Linked DNA regions of Cricetulus griseus. The protein of the gene in region 2 interacts with the protein of the main gene of each other region in a pairwise test. Links are inferred from orthologs where the notes say so. Each region holds a gene or a part of one and is shown on either strand. Other genes may lie near its edges.

Region 1 (6,223 bases), on a different chromosome or scaffold from region 2:
TCCTTGGAACTTGGATCTACAGAGGGGTGGTTGTGAATTTAATCTGGGTGCTGGGAATTTAAACCAGGTCCCTGGAAGAAAAACAAATACTCTTAACTGCTGAGTCCCCATTCCAGCCAACACCACCCCCTCTTATGAAAAAATGTTGGGGGCCTTAGTAAGGACATCTTAGGAGTGGGTGTAGATTCCTCAAGACAGCTGCCTTTTTGTTGTCTTTCTTTGCTTACAAGATGCACAACCAGCCAAGGTCTTCCCTGTTGCACACTTATGCATTGATTTGCTTCTTATCTAAGTGAGGAAACTTCTGTGGATCTTTGAGAACCCCTGCTCTAGACCCAGTATCTGCATTCTTTTCTTTTCATCAGGTGCTACAGGCTATTGAGATCTTTGTTTATTTGTGTGGTACTGGAAATTGAACCAAGGATGTCACACATTGCAGCCCTTTCAGAAATTTAAATAATAAAAAAAAGACATGCAAGAGACTTTCAATAAACTGTCCAGCCTGGCCTGAGACTTGGGGGTCCTCCTGTCTCTGCCCCCAAGTTTTGGAATTACAGGCCTTAAGTCCTGAGCAATAGTTACAGCCACCTTTCAGTGAGCACATAACTTGCCCAGCACTGAGCTAGCTGTGCATGTGGGCATCTGGCTAAATCTTCATAAGAACCCACTCAAGACAATATTATTGTCCCTGTTTTACAGCCCAGAGGTGTTAAGTTGTCCAGAGCCAGTAGGTAACCAATCTGAGGGTAGAATGGTCAGAGACCCAGGGGCCACAAGTCTAAACCCTGTGCTAAACCAGATATGGAGAGAGAGGGGAGTATGAAGCTCCAGCTGATTGGCTGAAGACTGCCAGCCACTTGATGCTGCCAACTCAGCTTGCGACTACACACACCAATTCTGCCAGATGAATGGCTTCAAGAATTATTTTCAGCTAAGCATAGTTGTGGACCTATTTAATTCCAAAACTCAGTAGGCTGAGTTCAAGGCCAGCTGAGTCTACAGAGTGGGATCTTGTCTCAAGAAAAAACAAAAACAAAAAAGAATTATTCTATAGCTGTCCATGGTGTCAGATAATTGTAATCCCAGCACTTGGGAGGTAGAAGCAAGAGCATTGCTGCAACTTCAAGGACAGCTTTGTCTATACAGGCAGTTTAAGGGCTTTATAGCAAAAGAGTTCATTCCAATCAGGCATGGTGGCTCAGCTTTATAAGATGTTGTCTCCCAAAAAACAAACAAGCAAGATAGTAATTTTTAAAAGTATTTATAGTGGGGCTGGAGAGATGGCTTAGTGGTTAAGAGTACTTGCTGTTTTTCCACAGGACCTAGGTTCAGTTCCCAGCTCACAGCCATCTACAATTACAGTATGAGGTGATCTAACACCCTCTTCTGGATTCCATAGGCACTCACGTACATGGTGCACATTCATACATGTGAGCAAACATTCATACACATACAATAAAATCTTTGGTTGCTTTTTTTGTTTTTCGAGACAGGGTTTCTTGTTTCTTTGTAGCTTTGGAGCCTGTCCTGGCACTCATTCTGTAGCCCAGGCTGGCCTCGAACTCACAGAGATCTGCCTGCCTCTGCCTCTGGAGTGCTGGGATTAAAGGTATGCTCCACCACCACCTAGCACAATAAAATCTTTTTAAAAAAACGATATATGGTGCTAGGGAGATGGCTCCATAAATAAAGCTCCCACTGCACTAGCATGAGAACCAGAATTTGAATCCTGAGCACCCACACAAAATCCAAGCAGTTTGTTTGTTATCCTAGTGCTCAAGATGCCAAAAACAGGGGCTCCCAAGGACTAGCTGGTCAGCTAGACTAGACAAGCTGGTGAGCTCCAGGTTCAGCCAGAGACCCTGTCTCCATAAATAAATCCGAGAGCTATTAAATAAGACACTGGACATCAACCTCGGACTTCCATGTGCACCTAAACATGTGTGTGCCCACACATGTGAATAAGCATGCACAGAACACGTGTACACGTGCCAAAAATGATTGCTCACTTTCCATCTTCCCTATCACTGCTTTGTCCTGTGCTAGTGGCACAAAAGAAATGCTGTGTCCTTTTTGTCCCAATGAGTCACAGAGAAGAGAAGGAAGGGGAAAGGGGTGGGAGTAATTAGGTAGTCAGAGGGGTGGATGACGGAAGGGAAAGAGCTGGAGATAGAAAAGGGGACAAGAAGGGAGGAAGAGTTAGCTGATGGAGCTGGAGGAACAATGTATCCCCCAGGCTCGGAACCCCCTTTGACTGGAATGCACCTGTGAGCATCCCAAGGTTCTGTACAGTCAGATAACTAGCCTAGCTCGCCTTCATTTCAGAACTTCTCCCCAGGAGCTGAGGGCCAGCTGGAAGTCCACCCCCTATCTCCTCCCAGCTCTTACCCTGCACTCTCGGAAGTGGGCTCTTAACTCCAGCCCATTCTCAGAGCCTCCCTCAGTTTCCTGGTGTGGCCTCACAGCTTAGGGCTACCTTCCTGTCCCATTTCCCTTTCCTGCCTCTAGTTCCCTAGAGATGAAGCCATCCAGACATTGGCATCTCTAGCCAAGCCACATCCATCCAGCCTTAGAGTACTAAACTTGCTTTCAGTCTGGTCCATCTCCCCAGGAGTCCCAGGGGAGGGGGATCCTGGCATCAGAGGTCTCAGACACCTTTGCCTTAGAAATGGCAGGTCTGCAGCAGGAGTATAGGTGACTCAAGCCAGGATTATGTCATTAGGTAGAGGTTAGGAAAGAGTCAGCCTGTGTCACACTGATAATTTCATGAAACTTTTATAGTAAACAACTTATTTTCTCTTTCCCCGGGGAAAGTGTTTATCTTTCAGCACCCAGCCTAGAGAGGCCTCCACTAGGCATCTACTCAGGTTTCCAACCCTTGGGCCAGCTCTGGCTTCTCTCAGCCCCCGGGGAAGAGCCCGCAGAGGTCATCGCATTACCTGCTACTTCTTAGCAAAGGGTTCTGAGTGCCTGGCAGCAGCAACCATAAACATCTCCTCTAACCTCTCAAGGACCCACTAAGGTAGGTATTGCTGCCCCTACTTTATGGCACGGAAAAGGAAGCTCATGGAGGTTAAGTGACTTGCCCGGGATGGCCGGGAGCTGCTAACTGCCGCACGAGCGTGGGAAGCGCAGCTCGGCTCACTCCGCACCGACGGGGCGCACTCTGATTCTCCTTTCCCGGCTGCCTGCAAAGTTGGGGTCTGGCTCATGCGACCAGCGTGACCCGCACCCCTGGGGTTCGGGCTCCTACATCACACCCCTGCATAATCGCCCTCTGCCCCTGCCCGTCTCACCATCGCCTCCGCAGCCACCGCCACCTCCTGCTTGCCGGCTCCGGCTCCTCTGCCCGGCGTGGCCTCAGTGCCCGCGGCCCTGGAGGAAGCCGCGGGGCGGGGCGGGCCCGCGGGCCAAGGGGGCGGAGGGGGGGCGCCTTCTCAGAGAGGTGCCCGACCCAGACAAACCGAAAGCAGCAACAGGGTCCGTGGGGCGCCTCCTACCGGGCCACCAGCGTCCGATTTCCGATGACACCCCAGCCTGGTAAATTGGGGACCGATGTCTCTTGGATCTGGGACTGCAACAGGAGTTAGCGAGGGAGGCGTCATTCTGTCATACGACAAGCATCTGTGAGTGCTAAGTGCTCCGGATGTCATGAACATGCCAGGATGGGTGCTTGCCACCTTGGTGAGTGCATGCCACCCAAAACTGAAAACACATCAACCACTCCAAAGTTCTGGTTGTTTTCAGACGGAGCAGGCAGTATTCTGAATACATCACATGTCGCCAAGTTGTACACTTAAAAAAGACAAATTGAGGTCTGGCAAGATGGTTCAGTGGATAAAGGCACTTGAAGCCAAATCTATTGCATTATCAGAGTTCCATCCCTGGGACTCACATTGTGGAGAGAACCAACTCCTGCAAGTTGTCTATCTGACCTCCATACACCGGGGTGGGAGGAGGTGGGGGGGCGATTTTTTAAATGCTAAAATTCTGCCGACATTCCTGTGAGCTAAAAGTCTCAGTGGTGTGTGGATGCATGAGCCTCTAAAGTTGCTGGGATGGATCCCAGCCTGAAATAAAAGATGACAACAGCAGCCAGACCAAGTTTTGAACCAGCAAGAGGCAGAGGAAGAAAAAGAGAAGATTTGAGCCAGCCTCCAGAGCAGTACTCAAGCAAAGAATGACTCCCTTTCCCAGAGAATAAAACACAGACAAACTACATGGCAGGCCCTGAAGAGCCTCATAGTGTGAGTTTAGGAGTCAGTCGGAAAACAAACAGGGATTATCCAGCCTGAGAACATACAATTTCCCCTTAGATTCCTGATGCCGGCCATGGGGACTTCTCCCCCGGTCAGAAAGATGGAGATTTTGAAGCAGAGTGATGATGAGGATACTGCAGCTTTTCTTGCATAACTGGGAAAAATTAAAGAGGAGCCAACAAACAGTCCTCTTTCTTAATCTCACTGGCCCATCGCCCAGTGCTTAATCAAAGACTAGAATGTGGGACCGGAGAGCTAGCTGAGTAGTTAAAAGCACTGGCTGCTCCTCCAGAGGACCCAGATTGAATTCTCATCACCCTCATTTCTGCTCACTGCTGTCTATAATTCAGCTCCAGGGGATCTAATGCCTATTCTAGCCTCCAAGGGCACCAATCATGAATGTGGTACATAGTCACATATTCAAGTGATGCATTTCTGCACATAAAAGAAAAAAAATAATTTAAAGAAAAAGTAATTTAAAAAAAATTACTGCCGGGTGTTGGGCCGTTAATCCCAGCACTCGGGAGGCAGAGGCAGGTGGATCTCTGTGAGTTCGAGGCCAGCCTGGTCTCCAGAGCGAGTGCCAGGATAGGCTCCAAAGCTACACAGAGAAACCCTGTCTCGGAAAACCAAAATAAATAAAAATAAATAAATAATTACTTATTTTACATCCTGACCTCAGTTTCCCCTCCTTCCATCCTCCTGGTCCCTCTGCTCCCTTGCCCCTCCCTGTCAATCCAGTCCTCTTCTGTTTCTATTCAGAAAAGGGCAGGCTTCCCATAGATATCAACAACGCATGGCATACCAAGTTGTAATAAGACTAAGCATCTCGCCTTGCATTAAAGCTGGGCAAGGCAACCCAGTAAGGGGAATAGGAACCCAAAATCCAGTGAAGGAGTCAGAGACAGCACTTGCTCCCACTGTTACAAGTCACACAAGAAGATCAAGCTACTAAACTGTCACATACATGCAGAGGGCCTAGGTCAGTCCCATGCAGGCTCCCCAGTTGTTAGCTCAGTTGTTGTGAGTTATGAACCCAGGTTAGTTGTTTCTGTGAGGTTTTTTGTGATGTCCTTTGACCCCTCTGGCTCCTTCCTCCCTCTCTTCAGCAGGATTCCCAGAACTTGGCCTAATGTTTGGCTGTGGTTCTCTGCATCTGTTTCCATCAGTTGCTGAGTGAAGGCTCTCTGATGACAATTGAGCTAGGCACCAGTCTGGAGTTCAGGATGCTGGTCTGGCCTCTCGAAAAAGTAATTTTTTTAAAAGACTGAAGTATTAAGGAAAAAATTAAATTGTTAATTGTGGCTGGGCATATGCTTACCTCTCATGCTGCAAGCTTTGGGTTTGATCTCCAGCATTATATAAGCCAGATCTGCTGGTAGATGCCTGAAATCCCAGCACTGGGGAGCCAGGGACAGAAGGATCAAAAGTTCAAAGTCCTGGTCTGATATATAGTGATTTTTTTTGTTTTGGTTTGTTTGTTTGTTTTGGCTTTTTGAGACAGGGCTTCTCTGTGTAACAGCCCTGGCTGTCCTGGAACTCACTCTGTAGACCAAGCTGGTCTCAAAGTCAGAGATCTGCCTTGCCTCTGCCTCCTGAGGGCTGGGATTAAGGGTGTGTGCCATCACTGTCCAGCTACTATATAGTGAATTTAATGCCAGTGTTACTACACAAGACCCTGTCTAAAAACAAAACAGACAAACTGAGCTGGCACTGTGGCTTATGGCTGTGATCCTAATACTTAAGAGGATGAGGCAGTAGGATTGACTGACTTTGAGACAAGCCTGGGGCTACATAGTAAATTCCAGAACAACCTACTCTTGGCTACAAAGTGAGACTTGGTCTCAAAAAAAAAAGTTTGTCATATGAATTTAACTCCAGTATAAAAAGAAAGCAGCGTCTTGTGGGCAGTGCTAGCTCTCTGGCTTTTCTCTGTTCTAAACTCATCATGAGAAACTTGCAGG
Region 2 (5,435 bases):
CACCTGTCAGGAAGTGGGTGAAGGACCTGCAGGGCACAAGGGGGGCTCAGTAGGCACCCTGCTCTCGCAGGCTCAGAGCCTTCGCCACTCCCACTCCTTACCTGTGTTTTTCTGTTAGCTTCACCATCATGGGTGAGAGTTCATAGAGTACAAAGACTCCTGGCAGGCCCTGGTCACCCAGCAGCCCATTGGCAACCTTCTCGTGTCTGGTCACAGAGAACTGGTTTGTCCTCAGCACCTGCAGGAAGAAGGGAACCAGAAGCAGAGAGAGGTTTATAACCTGGCTCAGGGTTGTTCTGAGCCCCGCTTCTTGTCAGGCTGTGACTATATGAAGAGATAGAATGAAGCTCCCAGTTGGTAACTAGCAACACAAGGCCTGGGGACCATCCTTGTTTCCCTTCCAGTCCACCATCTTATCAGTTTTTGCCTGTCCTAGCTACATCTGATGGATACTTTCACTGGTAGTACAGGGAAGAGAAGAAACTCTTGCAGGCAGCACCCTAAGGCTAGGACTCACATCCTTGCCCTTCAGCCCTGTCACACCACCCCAAAGACAGCTGTTCCAGACCACAGAACAGAGCAGGCCCAAGGAGGCTTGGCCTAGCCAACCCCCAGGTCAGCACAGACAATGGGGTCAGTAAGCACCCAAGGACTGTCTGGAGGCAGTGTGGGAGGCAGGAAGACCAAATAGTGTCTAGTGTGTGTCTCCCACGAGGGCATCAGTACCCTGGAGCCTCAGCTCTGCATCCATCACACAGGAGTGAGAGCAGTACCTCATTCCCCGGGCCAAAGTAATGACACACAGGACTTTGAGAGCTTGACAACAAGCTGAACTGGACGCCTATACTCGACTCACCTCCCCATCCACTTTCATGTACACAGTGGGGACCACCTTCACAAAGTACTGAAACATCATGGAGGCTGTGAGGAGAAGCAAGCACAGGGCATGGGCACCAGGAAGGGCGTTAGCGGTAGAGGGGGCTACCTCCCAGGATGGTACCTTGGGGTGCAGTGACATTGGTGTGGTCCAGGGGGTTCACAATGCCTGGATAGTCCTCCCCAAATGACAGGTGCTTGATGTAGTGAGTCATGTTGATCTGTAAGCAACATCAGCATCTGAGGCCCGATAGCACACCCCCACACAACACCAGCGTCTGTCTGAGGCCCGATAGCACACCCCCACACAACACCAGTGTCTGTCTGAGGCCCGATAGCACATACCCACATAACACCAGTGTTTGTCTGAGGCCCGATAGCACACACCCACACAACATCAGCATCTGTCTGAGGCCCAATAGCACACAACCCACACAACACCAGTGTCTGTCTGAGGCCCGATAGCACACACCCACACAACACCAGCGTCTGTCTGAGGCCCGATAGCACACACCCACACAACACCAGCGTCTGTCTGAGGCCCGATAGCACACACCCACACAACACCAGCGTCTGTCTGAGGCCCGATAGCACACACCCACACAACACCAGTGTCTGTCTGAGGCCCGAAAGCACACACCCACACAACACCAGCGTCTGTCTGAGGCCCGATAGCACATACCCACACAACATCAGCATCTGTCTGAGGCCCAATAGCACACAACCCACACAAAACCAGCTAGAGTAGCAGAGTGTTCCCCAAGGCTGTGAGCGCAGGTGGGAAGAGGGAGGAAGGAAGCGGCCCTGTACAGGAGAAGCTATGGCTTTAATAGGAGAAGTGTCTGTACCAGGCACTTGTTTTCACTTAGGGATCTCTCCTCAGTCCACAGATTTCTGGGCTCTAGGGTTTAAGGTACAGCTTCAAGCAGCCACATTGTACATGGTGACACTAGTCCTGTCTGCACACCTCAAGGGATGAAGGTCTAAGCCAGAAGCCCCAACTGGCAGCTTCCTTGAGGGACAGTTAGAAATGTAAATCTAACTATGTCACACCCCTGGTTAAGGTGAGGCAAAAGTGGCCCCTCTTCTCAAAAGGCAGACTCCTCAGTGTGGCTCCAGTCCCAAGGCCTCGACCCTGCCAACTCTGCCAGCTTCCTAGAAATGCCACACTCTGTCCTGGCTTTGCTCTGAGCTTCCTTCTGTTGAGGGTGCACCCGTCCAACGATCTCTGCCCTGGGTCTGAACACCAGCAGAACATGGAGAGTGATTTCTCCCCATTTCAGACATGAGCAGAGTCCAGTCTCTTGCCACCCATCCTCCATGGTTTCCGCCTGGTACGTACATTGTCAAGGCCGAAGCTCTGCAAGTCATGAACTAGGAGAAGAAGAAAACAGTCACCAGGCAGGCAGGACCAGGTTCCTGAGTCTTTTTTCAGGCCGTACTCCTCCCTGTGGGATATGACGCTCTGACCCCTCAGTCACCCACAGCCTGATACGCTGGCCCTGCTTAAGCACAGCTGGCCAGAGCCTGCCCTGCACCTGGGTAAAGGGTTCCCAGCCTCCCACTGGGGTGGACAAGAACACAGATTTCCCGGCCAGGCTTTTATCTCAGGAAACAAAACCCACGGACAGGTCTCTCACTAACCAGAGTTACTGACAAATTACTGTACCCCAACATCAATAGGGACTCCCTTGATTCTACCCTCAAAATTCCCCAAAGGGATTTTTGAACCAGCAGTTTCTTCCCATCTTAACCCCAATTGCCCACTGTTAGGAACCCCATGTCAAAGCCCATCCCAGGAGTAAGTCACCCAGCGGCAGGGTCAGAAGGCTCTATCCCAGACCCATCCAAACCTCCCCCCATTCCAGGAGGGCAGGCTGCTTTGGAAGTGGGGAGAGGGCATCCTTGGGGGCAGGGCCACTTACTCTCCACAGCATGAACTGCAGCATGGGGAAGGGAGAAGAGAACAGAGATTCAGAGCTCCAGTGGGATCTATGGAGCAAGACCCACAGTAGCGGGGAGGATGGAGACTCCTGCTTTGGCACGAGGGTCTAGCCCTAGCTAAAAGGCCTCTTCCAGGACCAAAGAGGCATAAAAGAGGGCTGAAGCATAAAAACAGCCAGCCTAAGAACAAAATGAGACCTAGAGCCTCGAAGTCCTCCCCCAGCTGTGTGACCTGGGCAGAGCACTTGGCCGGTGTTGTCTGCCAAGGGCTGACCTGAGGGTCTAGGAGGGGCAGATGCTTGGTCAACTTCACAAGACCTTATACCCCCTGGTGTTGTTCACCCTGCAACCAACAGGATGTTAAAAGCACTCTGAGGACTCAATGGCAGATCTTGGGCCACGGGCCACTGTAGCCATATGTGTATGAGCATCCTTGCACTCAGAGTCAGCTGCCCCGGGGTCCATGACCCAGAAGGTAGACCTAAGCAGAGGTGCAGGCGGAAATGCTGTTGTGATAGCAGCCCCCTCCCGAGTGTCTGAAGGCCTGTAGTCCACAGCTTCACACAGTGACACACCGATGTCGTCCTATGGTCTCAGGAAATCTATTTTACTCGGCCTCCTCCAGAGTAAAGGGGTGGGTGGGGGTTCCAGAGCTCTTCAGGGTCCTCCAGGCCACCTACCTCTCCTTGTGCCTTCCCCCTCTGCAGGTACAGACTACATGAGAGACTACAGGACCCCACGCCCGCCCACCTTAGTCACTGGGAGCAGCTCAGAACCACCAGGTCCTGCTTGTCCTCTGGAATCCTCTTGGCTGGTAGCGATCTCCCAAATGATCCTAATTCTCACCCCACCCACACCCCACCAGGTAGCAGCAGCATCTTCAGCCTCCACTTTGGCCCTTCACTCTTCTGCTTCCCCCGCAGCCTGACTTTCTCTTCCAGGCACCAGCTCCATTCCATCGTCTCAACTACTGTTTGGTCTCCCATACCTATCCACTCTGTAGTCAAGAGAGAGGTCCTTCTAGCTCCTTCCTGCCATTTTCAGACCACTGTCCCCTGATCTACAGTCAAAGTCCTTAGCTCCCAGGCAGTTCAAGGCACCCTACTTGTTAATCATGAAATTCCACCAGGCACCCCCAGGACAGTTTTAGTAACTACCTGCCCATCCTTTATGGCACCCGAATCTCAGCTTTTGGTGAGTCCCATAGTCATGTACACGAGCCTTCCAACACCCTGTCATCCCAGTTCCTGGACAGCCCCGCCTCCCTGCTCTTCTCTCCCACTCCAGACCACCATGGTGACCATTCCCTAACCCTGACATTAGCAGTAGCTATACCTTCTCTAGTGTCAACCACAAGCACCTCATGCTCCAACTGCCAGCTTGCTAACTTCCTCCTGTTCCTTCCCTGGCCCCGCAGTGCCCCAAATCCAACCATCCTTTGCCACCACACCAAAGGCCTGCGGCAGTCTGGTGCTTCTCCGCTTCCTCATTGGCGTCTACTCCTCCCCCAAACCCTGAGTCCTCACTTTCCTCCCATGGTCCAGCTCTGTGATTGCCTCTTTGTATACTCTTTGACTCCCTTGTCTGTGCAGCACAGAGCAACACTAAACCCCAGAAAATCCCACAGGTGCTCTCACTTCCACCCACTGTCCCCGAAACCAAAGACGTCCCCCTGTTGCCTCCAGCATGCCATCCCTTTCTCCACAGCCTTCGCTAATGACCTTGCTTCCTCTGCCCGAGAAGAAGCCAGGAGAGACACTGCATGAGCGCTTCTGCTCCCCTGCCATGGCTGGAGTTTGCTCTTTCCACACGCTCAAGGCCTAGACTGTCTTCTCCAGACCCGCTGTGTCACTTCAGCCCTTGTCACAGCCCTGTACATGAGCCATCTGACAGCCTGCGCACCAGTTCCTGGACACGCCTCCTCAGTCTTGTCCTCCGCCCCCCAGTCTCCAGTTCTGTTGCCATCCTCTAAACCAGCGTTCTCAACCTGCAGTTTGTGACCCCTCACGGGCTGAGCAACCCTTTCACAGGGGTCGCCTAAGACCACTGGAAAACACAGATATTTATATTATAATTCATAACAGTGGCAAAACTACAGTTATGAAGTAGCAACAAAAATCACTTTATGGTTGGGGTCATGACAACACGAGGAACTGTATTAAATGGTACTAGCATTAGGAAGGTTGGGAACCCCTGCTCTAGTCCGTGACGTGGTAGTAATGGCGCCCATCTGCAGTTTCAGTTTCGAGCACCTGGTGCTCTAATGCAAATCTTAAACACTTTTCTGCATTTCTAGTCATAGTCATGTTCTGTCAGGGCCACCAACGACCACTACACTAACAACCAACCTTCATCTTTTGCTTGGTATCCAGGAGTACCCATCCCTTGGCTCTTAGGATGGCACACTCCTGGCTGAAGCTCCCACCTCACCAGCCATCCTTACAGTCTCCTTTACAGCCCCATGCCGCTGGCCTCTAACACAAGAAGCCTGGTAGTACTCAGGTTCCCTTCTCCAACAAAGTTCACCTGCAGGGAGAGTGCATGGAGTCCCATAGCTTTAAATATGTGGGAGGGTTCAACGTCTGTCTCTTGGCTAGTCTCTGTCCTTGAACTCC
Region 3 (6,084 bases), on a different chromosome or scaffold from region 2:
ATGACATAGATGTTCTGTTGAAGGCATCGCAGGACTCGGCAACAATTCTCAGATAACTCATAGACTTGGGGCTCTGAATGAACCACAGCTTCTGCAACTTTCTTCACTTTGACCATGCTGGTTGCCACCAGGTGGCTGGCTCTCATTTTGGCTGATGACTCACTTGTGTAGTCCACAATACCAGTGGAGACACTAGTCACAGCCGCCGCTGCTCCCAATCCCATCCCTGTTGCCAAGAGCACCAGACTGGCCCCAGCTGTCACAGGTACCAGAGTAAGGCCAAGGAGGGTGAGGACTCCAGAAACAGTGCTGGTGGAGCTGGCCACCACCTTGGAGATGGTGCAATCCCTGTGAACCTTGTCAACTTTATCTGCAAGGATCTGGAGCTTCTTAATGTGCCCCTCGAGTTCCAGTTGCACCTGAGGAAACATATCCACAAAACTCTCCATGTCCTGCAAGTCACGTTGAAACTTGTCTTTGTCTTCCTCAGCCATGTTTTCTGTGAGGGCATTGAGAGCATCACGCAATGTGTCTGCATCAGCTCTGTAACAGGCATCAAGGGATTAAGAGAGAGAGTTTACTTATGGATTTAGGTCAAGGGTAGAGTGCTTGTCTAACATGCATGGGGCCTGGGTTCCATGCCCAGTGCTATAAAATAATAAAACAGATGGTTTGCTACAGGCTCCATAACACATGACCTGTGCAAATGACAGCATGCTTTCTGTGGCTCAGGAAGGATTTTATAGACACACAGATTCTTTCTTTTGATGGTGAAGGCTTGGTAATCATAAATTGTCCTTTGTAAATGAGGATAATTAGTAAAAGACATGTTAAGATTCTCTTGGAGAATGGAGAATGGGTTCTGCAATTAAGACTGCTTGTTGAACTTGTACAGGCCTGGAATTTGGATCTCAGCACTCAGAATTTGGTTAAAAGGCTGGCAATCATCTATTAACTCCAATCCAAAGGATCTGACATCCTTTGTGGCCTCCACAGGTATGTGCATGTACACATTCACACAAACACACACACACACACGCACACGCACACGCACACGCACACGCACACACGCACGCACATACGTAAATAAATTGCCAGCCATTGTGGCACTAGCCTTTAATTCCAGCACTCAGGAGGTGGAGATAGGCAGATCTCTGTGAGTTTGAGGTCAGCCTGATCTACATAGTGAATTCTAGGACAACCAGAGCTATATAGAAAGACCTTGTCTCAAAAATTAATGAATAAATTAATAAATAAATAAATTTGTTTGTTTGTTTAAGATGCTCTTGAGATTAGAGGGATGACTGAGCAGCTAAGAGCACTGTTTGCTCTTCCAGAGTTCCCAGGTTTGATTCTAGTACCCACATGGGAGCATACAAATGCCTGTTCTAGGGGTTCCAATGCCCTCTTCTGGCTTCTGTGGGCACCAGGCACACACATATACATGCAGGCAAAGACTCATACATATAAAGTAGAAATAAGGTTTTAAAAACCTTTTAAAAGATGTTCTTTAGGGGCTGGGGACTAGCATAGTAGGTAAAGAGCTTGCCTAGCATGTGTGAGGCCTTGGTGTCTACCGCTGTATAAAATCAGGCATGGTGTTACAAGCCAGTAATTCCAGTACTTGGGAGTCAGAGGCGGGAAGTTCAGAAGTTCAAGGTCATCTTTGCTTATGTCTGAGTTCAAGGCTAATATGGGATATATCAAACCTTGTCAAAAAAAATAAAAGATGTTCTTAGTGTCAGGCATTTGATAAAGATGTTTTCTTACTCAAGGGTAACACTGTGGCCATCAGCACATGCCAGGGGTGAGGATGAAGTGACGAGGAGGGGAATGGGGACTGTGCTGATGAACACAAGGAGGCAAGGTTGGAGCATAAGTCATCCTTAATTCATAGAATGTTTGCTAGTGTTGTGAAATGCCTTCCTTTTGCCCTCAGCTGCTGAAACACAAGCAGTAGGCCAGGTCATGTCCTCCCAGCCAAGACTATCTGCATCTGGCTAGGACTTTGGCAGGAAACTCATCCAAACTGAGCAATTCTGTCTGAACATTCCAAGTGTGAAAGGCTTCAAATGATGCCGCATGGAAAACTCCACAGTTGTCTTTAGGGGACCGGTCACACTCAAACACAAGGGTGCTAACAAGAGCATAGAACATTAAGATGTTCACTAGGTATAAAAAGTATAGAAGTGTGTTTCGCTTTGAGACTTGGATCTCATTCCCACAATGTAGCATATTGAAAATATTTTAAAATCAGGAAAATTCAGGATCCAAACCACTTCTGTTCCCAGGCATGTCCTCTTTAGGGTGCTCAGGTTTAACCAAGCAGTGTGTGGTGGGGGCTTTGGTCTCATTTCTGACCTCCAGGGAACTGGAGACTAAAGGCATTGACCTCTGAAATGAAAGATCTGGGGTCAGCCTCGAAGATAGTGTATGGTACAACCTTTTGGTGGCTCTCAAGTTCACTGAGAGACAATGGGACATTCCCAAAGCACAGTTATGGGTGTATCAAAGATGCTTTGGAGAGAATTAGCACATGAACAAGGGCACTAGGTCAGGGAGGCACATAGTGAATGAGGCTGCACCGTCCATAGGCAGGGAAGAGAAACCAAAAAAGGGAAGAAGTGCCTAACAGCAGGAGACCTGGACAACTCAGCCTCGGCCACAAAGGCCTTCCAGGCTCCATCTTCAGTCAACAGCAAGCGCAGATCTTCCCTACTGGCTCTGTGCTGGAGGTACTCAGTGACTTCCTCAATGAAGTTTCTGCCCCCTAGTTGGAAAGGAAAGTGAAGTTAGAGGACAGAATGGAAGAGCTTGAGTGACAGTAACCACAGAGTCAGCTTTCCACCCTGAGCTGGTCCACCTGAGGAGGCAGGACAGGGAGGAGGTGAGTCCTGGCTTTATTCCCCAGGAAGGGCACTGGCATTGGAAGAGTTTCTGAAGTCCCCCTTGGGTCTCCCCTTCTCTGTTCTCAACTTCTCTTGAAGGAACCAGATCCTCACCCAGCCCCCTGTTTTAGCAGCCATGACAGGCTGCAGAAAAGACCCAGCAAGACAAAGGCCCCTGACTCAGCACATGTTGCTTAGTTTCCAGCCTCCTGACCTTGCAGGGGCTGCCCTAGTCACTAGGAGGTCAGACACCCTCCACGCGGCAAGGAACCAATCAGAAGTTAGTTGGTGGGCTCTGGATGTGCTTTAAGGAAAAAGTGGCCTAACAGTGACATGTAGAGCTTAACAACTGCTCTGGGAGGGCCTATAGACCATAGCAACCAGTTAACCAATCAACACAGGACAGGTTGCCCAAGCTTGGAAGCACACCAATCCTGAGACTGTTGCATACCCCTAGACACTTCCCATACGCTGCCCAATAAACTCCCCCCACCCACAGTTTATCCGGGTCCTTCTCACTCCACCTGCCATGTAGAACGGATGGAGGGTCTGAATTAATGGAGTTAACTCATTAAATAATAAAAGACTCTTCGCTTTTGCATCAGAATGGGTCTCTTGGTGGTTTGGGGGTTCAGAATTTGGGCACAATACTCTACACTCAGTAATGGGGGTCTAGGCCACAAATGAGAAGAAGCCAGACAAATGTAATACCTGAGGAGCCCTCGCAGGTTGATGGGTCCATGGTGTCAACTGCACGGTCTCTGGTCCAAGCTGCAAGGAGGAAAAACCTAGCCATGCAATGAAAGGGGAACAACTGTTAGAAGACAAGCAACTAAGGACTGTGCCCCTCAGGTCCCTTCCAGTGTCTGGCAATTATCAGTATAAGGATTCAGGCATTATGCTGCCTGCTCCTGTAACCTGGCAGAATGCACTCAGGCAGTACCCTGGTCAGCCCAGGTACAAAGGACCCCTTTAAAAGAAATACCCCTGCCCACTTGTGCTCTCTGTCTTGCTGTTCTCCTGGGACAGACAGGACTTCTTCTGTCTCCTTCTTCTCTTCTGTCTTCTCTCTGTCTCTGTGTCTCTTTACACCTTTTTTCTTTCCTTTCCCCTCAATTCCTCTTTCTAATAAAACTTTCCACTTAAGCTCTGTCTGCCTGGCATGTTTGTCCTTCTGCCTCGGTCAACCTCCCCACCATGGAATCCACCAAGGTTCCCCTTGCGCTTTATCGTAACACTCAGACTTTATCAAAAGTGTTTCTCTTCCATGGGTTCCACAGAAAGCAACGAGTCATCTGGCTCTAACTGCTCATCCCAAGGCCCCTGCTCCATCCTCCCACTCTAGTAAGATCAGGTGATGACGAACCTATGGGAGATAACTGAATTTGTACACAGAAGATAAGATGAGAAGGGTTGCTCTGGCAGCAATCCGAGAGCGGTAACACATATGTGAGTTAATGATAGGGACTGATGTTTATTGTCTGGGACACACAAGGCTCCCTAGACATACACTTCATTAGACGACCACACACGTGCCATGAGATGAGAAGCATTGTGACCCCATCGTAATGGAGAAGGAAGACCATGAGGTTAGCTCCCATCCCCAGTCTTCATAATAATGTTAGAGCTAGCCCATGAACCCAAACCATTCTGAGCCATATCTCACCCTCTGGGGCCCTGCCCTCGGGTTCCTTAAACATCCAGCAGGATGCCTTCCTGCCCATGTACAGTCTATTGTGAGCACTTCCCATCCACGGCAATGCCTGTGCCCTGCAGGGTACAAATTCACCAGTGCCCCTGGGCTCCCCCAAGGCCCACCCACACATTCCTTGCTTCTGCAGGATCCTGCATCCAATCAAGCCTCAGAATCCTGCCACATCCCGTCTCTGTTTCTGTACTTGCTCTGGGCTGTCCAAACCCATCTGCCATCTTCCCTAACGATTGGACCTCATATCATAGCCAACCCTTTGTGTAAACAGTAGTGAAAAGAATGAGCTCCTTGCATAGCACTTGGCCTGCATTTCAGAATATTTCCCTCAGAGCTATGTGGAGGGCTGGCAAGATGGTACAGCAGACAAGAGTGCTTGCAGCTAAGCCTGAGGAACAGAGTTCAATGCCGGGTCCCACAGAGTAAAAAGAGGGAGCTGACTCCTATAAGTTGTCCTCTGGCTTCCACATATATGTGTGTGTGGATGTATATATGCATATATGAATATAGATACTTGAAAAATCTAGGCTGGTGTGGTGACCCAGCACTCTAGAAGCAGAGGCAAGTGGATCACTGTAAATTTAAAGCCAACCTGGTCTACACCAAATGCCAGGCCAGCCAGGGCTACACAATGAGACCCTATTTCTAAAAACAAACAAGACAAAATCTAAAAAACAAACAAACAAACAAAAAATACTTTTAAAAGGTAAAAAGAAACGGACTTCCTTCCTAGGCAGAAAAGAAAGCTAAAAGTTAAAAGCAGTTGTATTCCACTGGGATGGCCTAAGCCAGTGCTCAGTAAGAACTGTTTCTTATGGTATTTCCCAGGCTCAGAGAGGCCTGGCAGAAGCAGTGACAGGCCTGGAGATGTCCCACAAGTAACGCCATGAGATGAAATGGCACCTCCCTTCACAGTCCGAGTGTTCCTTTGCGACCTTTATCTTCAGATTTGATCCTTCTCGGCTCTGCAGGTTCACTGAGGCACATTTGGTTCAGCACGCCATTATAAAGTTCCACCAGGTACATTTAACCAAGACTTGCCTAGCTCCTCACACCTCTTCGGGGCTCAGTCAAGGCACTGACCAGCTGCCACAACAGAGCACCCCAGTTCCTCAACAAGCAACAAAAGGAGGATGCCCCAGAGCTCCTAGAACCTCTCAATCTGTTCTCAGCAGGTTCATTAATATTCTTTCCCCTCATAACCAGAGAAAGTCTTCTCTGTTCTTTGTTACGCTTTTTTGTAATTATTCACTCCCTGCAAGGCAGAGAAGCTTACACACAAGGAAAGTCCCCCTTCTTCAGCGTTTGGCCCCTCAGTAAAGCTCTGCACTGACCTGGGCGTGGGCCGAAGCTGGGTGCTAACGTGGACACGGTGAACCTCTTGAAGGGGCCTGTGGCTCAGTTCATAGGAAGGCTGTTCCAGGAAGAACAGAGGCCACACTAGGGGAAGTGGAGCCAGTGTTGGCCCTGCCCTACTCCTGGCCAGCT

The links.
Region 1: the proteins of Ergic3 (region 2) and Vamp5 interact in binary tests that used the Homo sapiens proteins (3 or more experiments, as listed by UniProt). The link is inferred for Cricetulus griseus from reciprocal best matches to the Homo sapiens genes ERGIC3 and VAMP5.
Region 3: the proteins of Ergic3 (region 2) and apolipoprotein L2-like interact in binary tests that used the Homo sapiens proteins (3 or more experiments, as listed by UniProt). The link is inferred for Cricetulus griseus from reciprocal best matches to the Homo sapiens genes ERGIC3 and APOL2.

What each region holds. Positions count from the first base shown.
Region 1 is NC_048601.1:64,109,296-64,115,518, forward strand, and holds the start of Vamp5 (vesicle-associated membrane protein 5), read right to left. Parts: upstream 3,443-6,223; 5' UTR 3,300-3,442; coding exon 3,297-3,299; intron 1-3,296. UniProt on the Homo sapiens protein: May participate in trafficking events that are associated with myogenesis, such as myoblast fusion and/or GLUT4 trafficking.
Region 2 is NC_048599.1:23,569,847-23,575,281, forward strand, and holds part of Ergic3 (endoplasmic reticulum-Golgi intermediate compartment protein 3), read right to left. Parts: intron 2,251-5,435; coding exon 2,219-2,250; intron 1,098-2,218; coding exon 1,001-1,097; intron 922-1,000; coding exon 857-921; intron 239-856; coding exon 102-238; intron 27-101; coding exon 1-26. UniProt on the Homo sapiens protein: Possible role in transport between endoplasmic reticulum and Golgi. Positively regulates trafficking of the secretory proteins SERPINA1/alpha1-antitrypsin and HP/haptoglobin.
Region 3 is NC_048595.1:374,853,878-374,859,961, forward strand, and holds the start of apolipoprotein L2-like, read right to left. Parts: upstream 3,631-6,084; coding exon 3,600-3,630; intron 2,771-3,599; coding exon 2,644-2,770; intron 544-2,643; coding exon 1-543.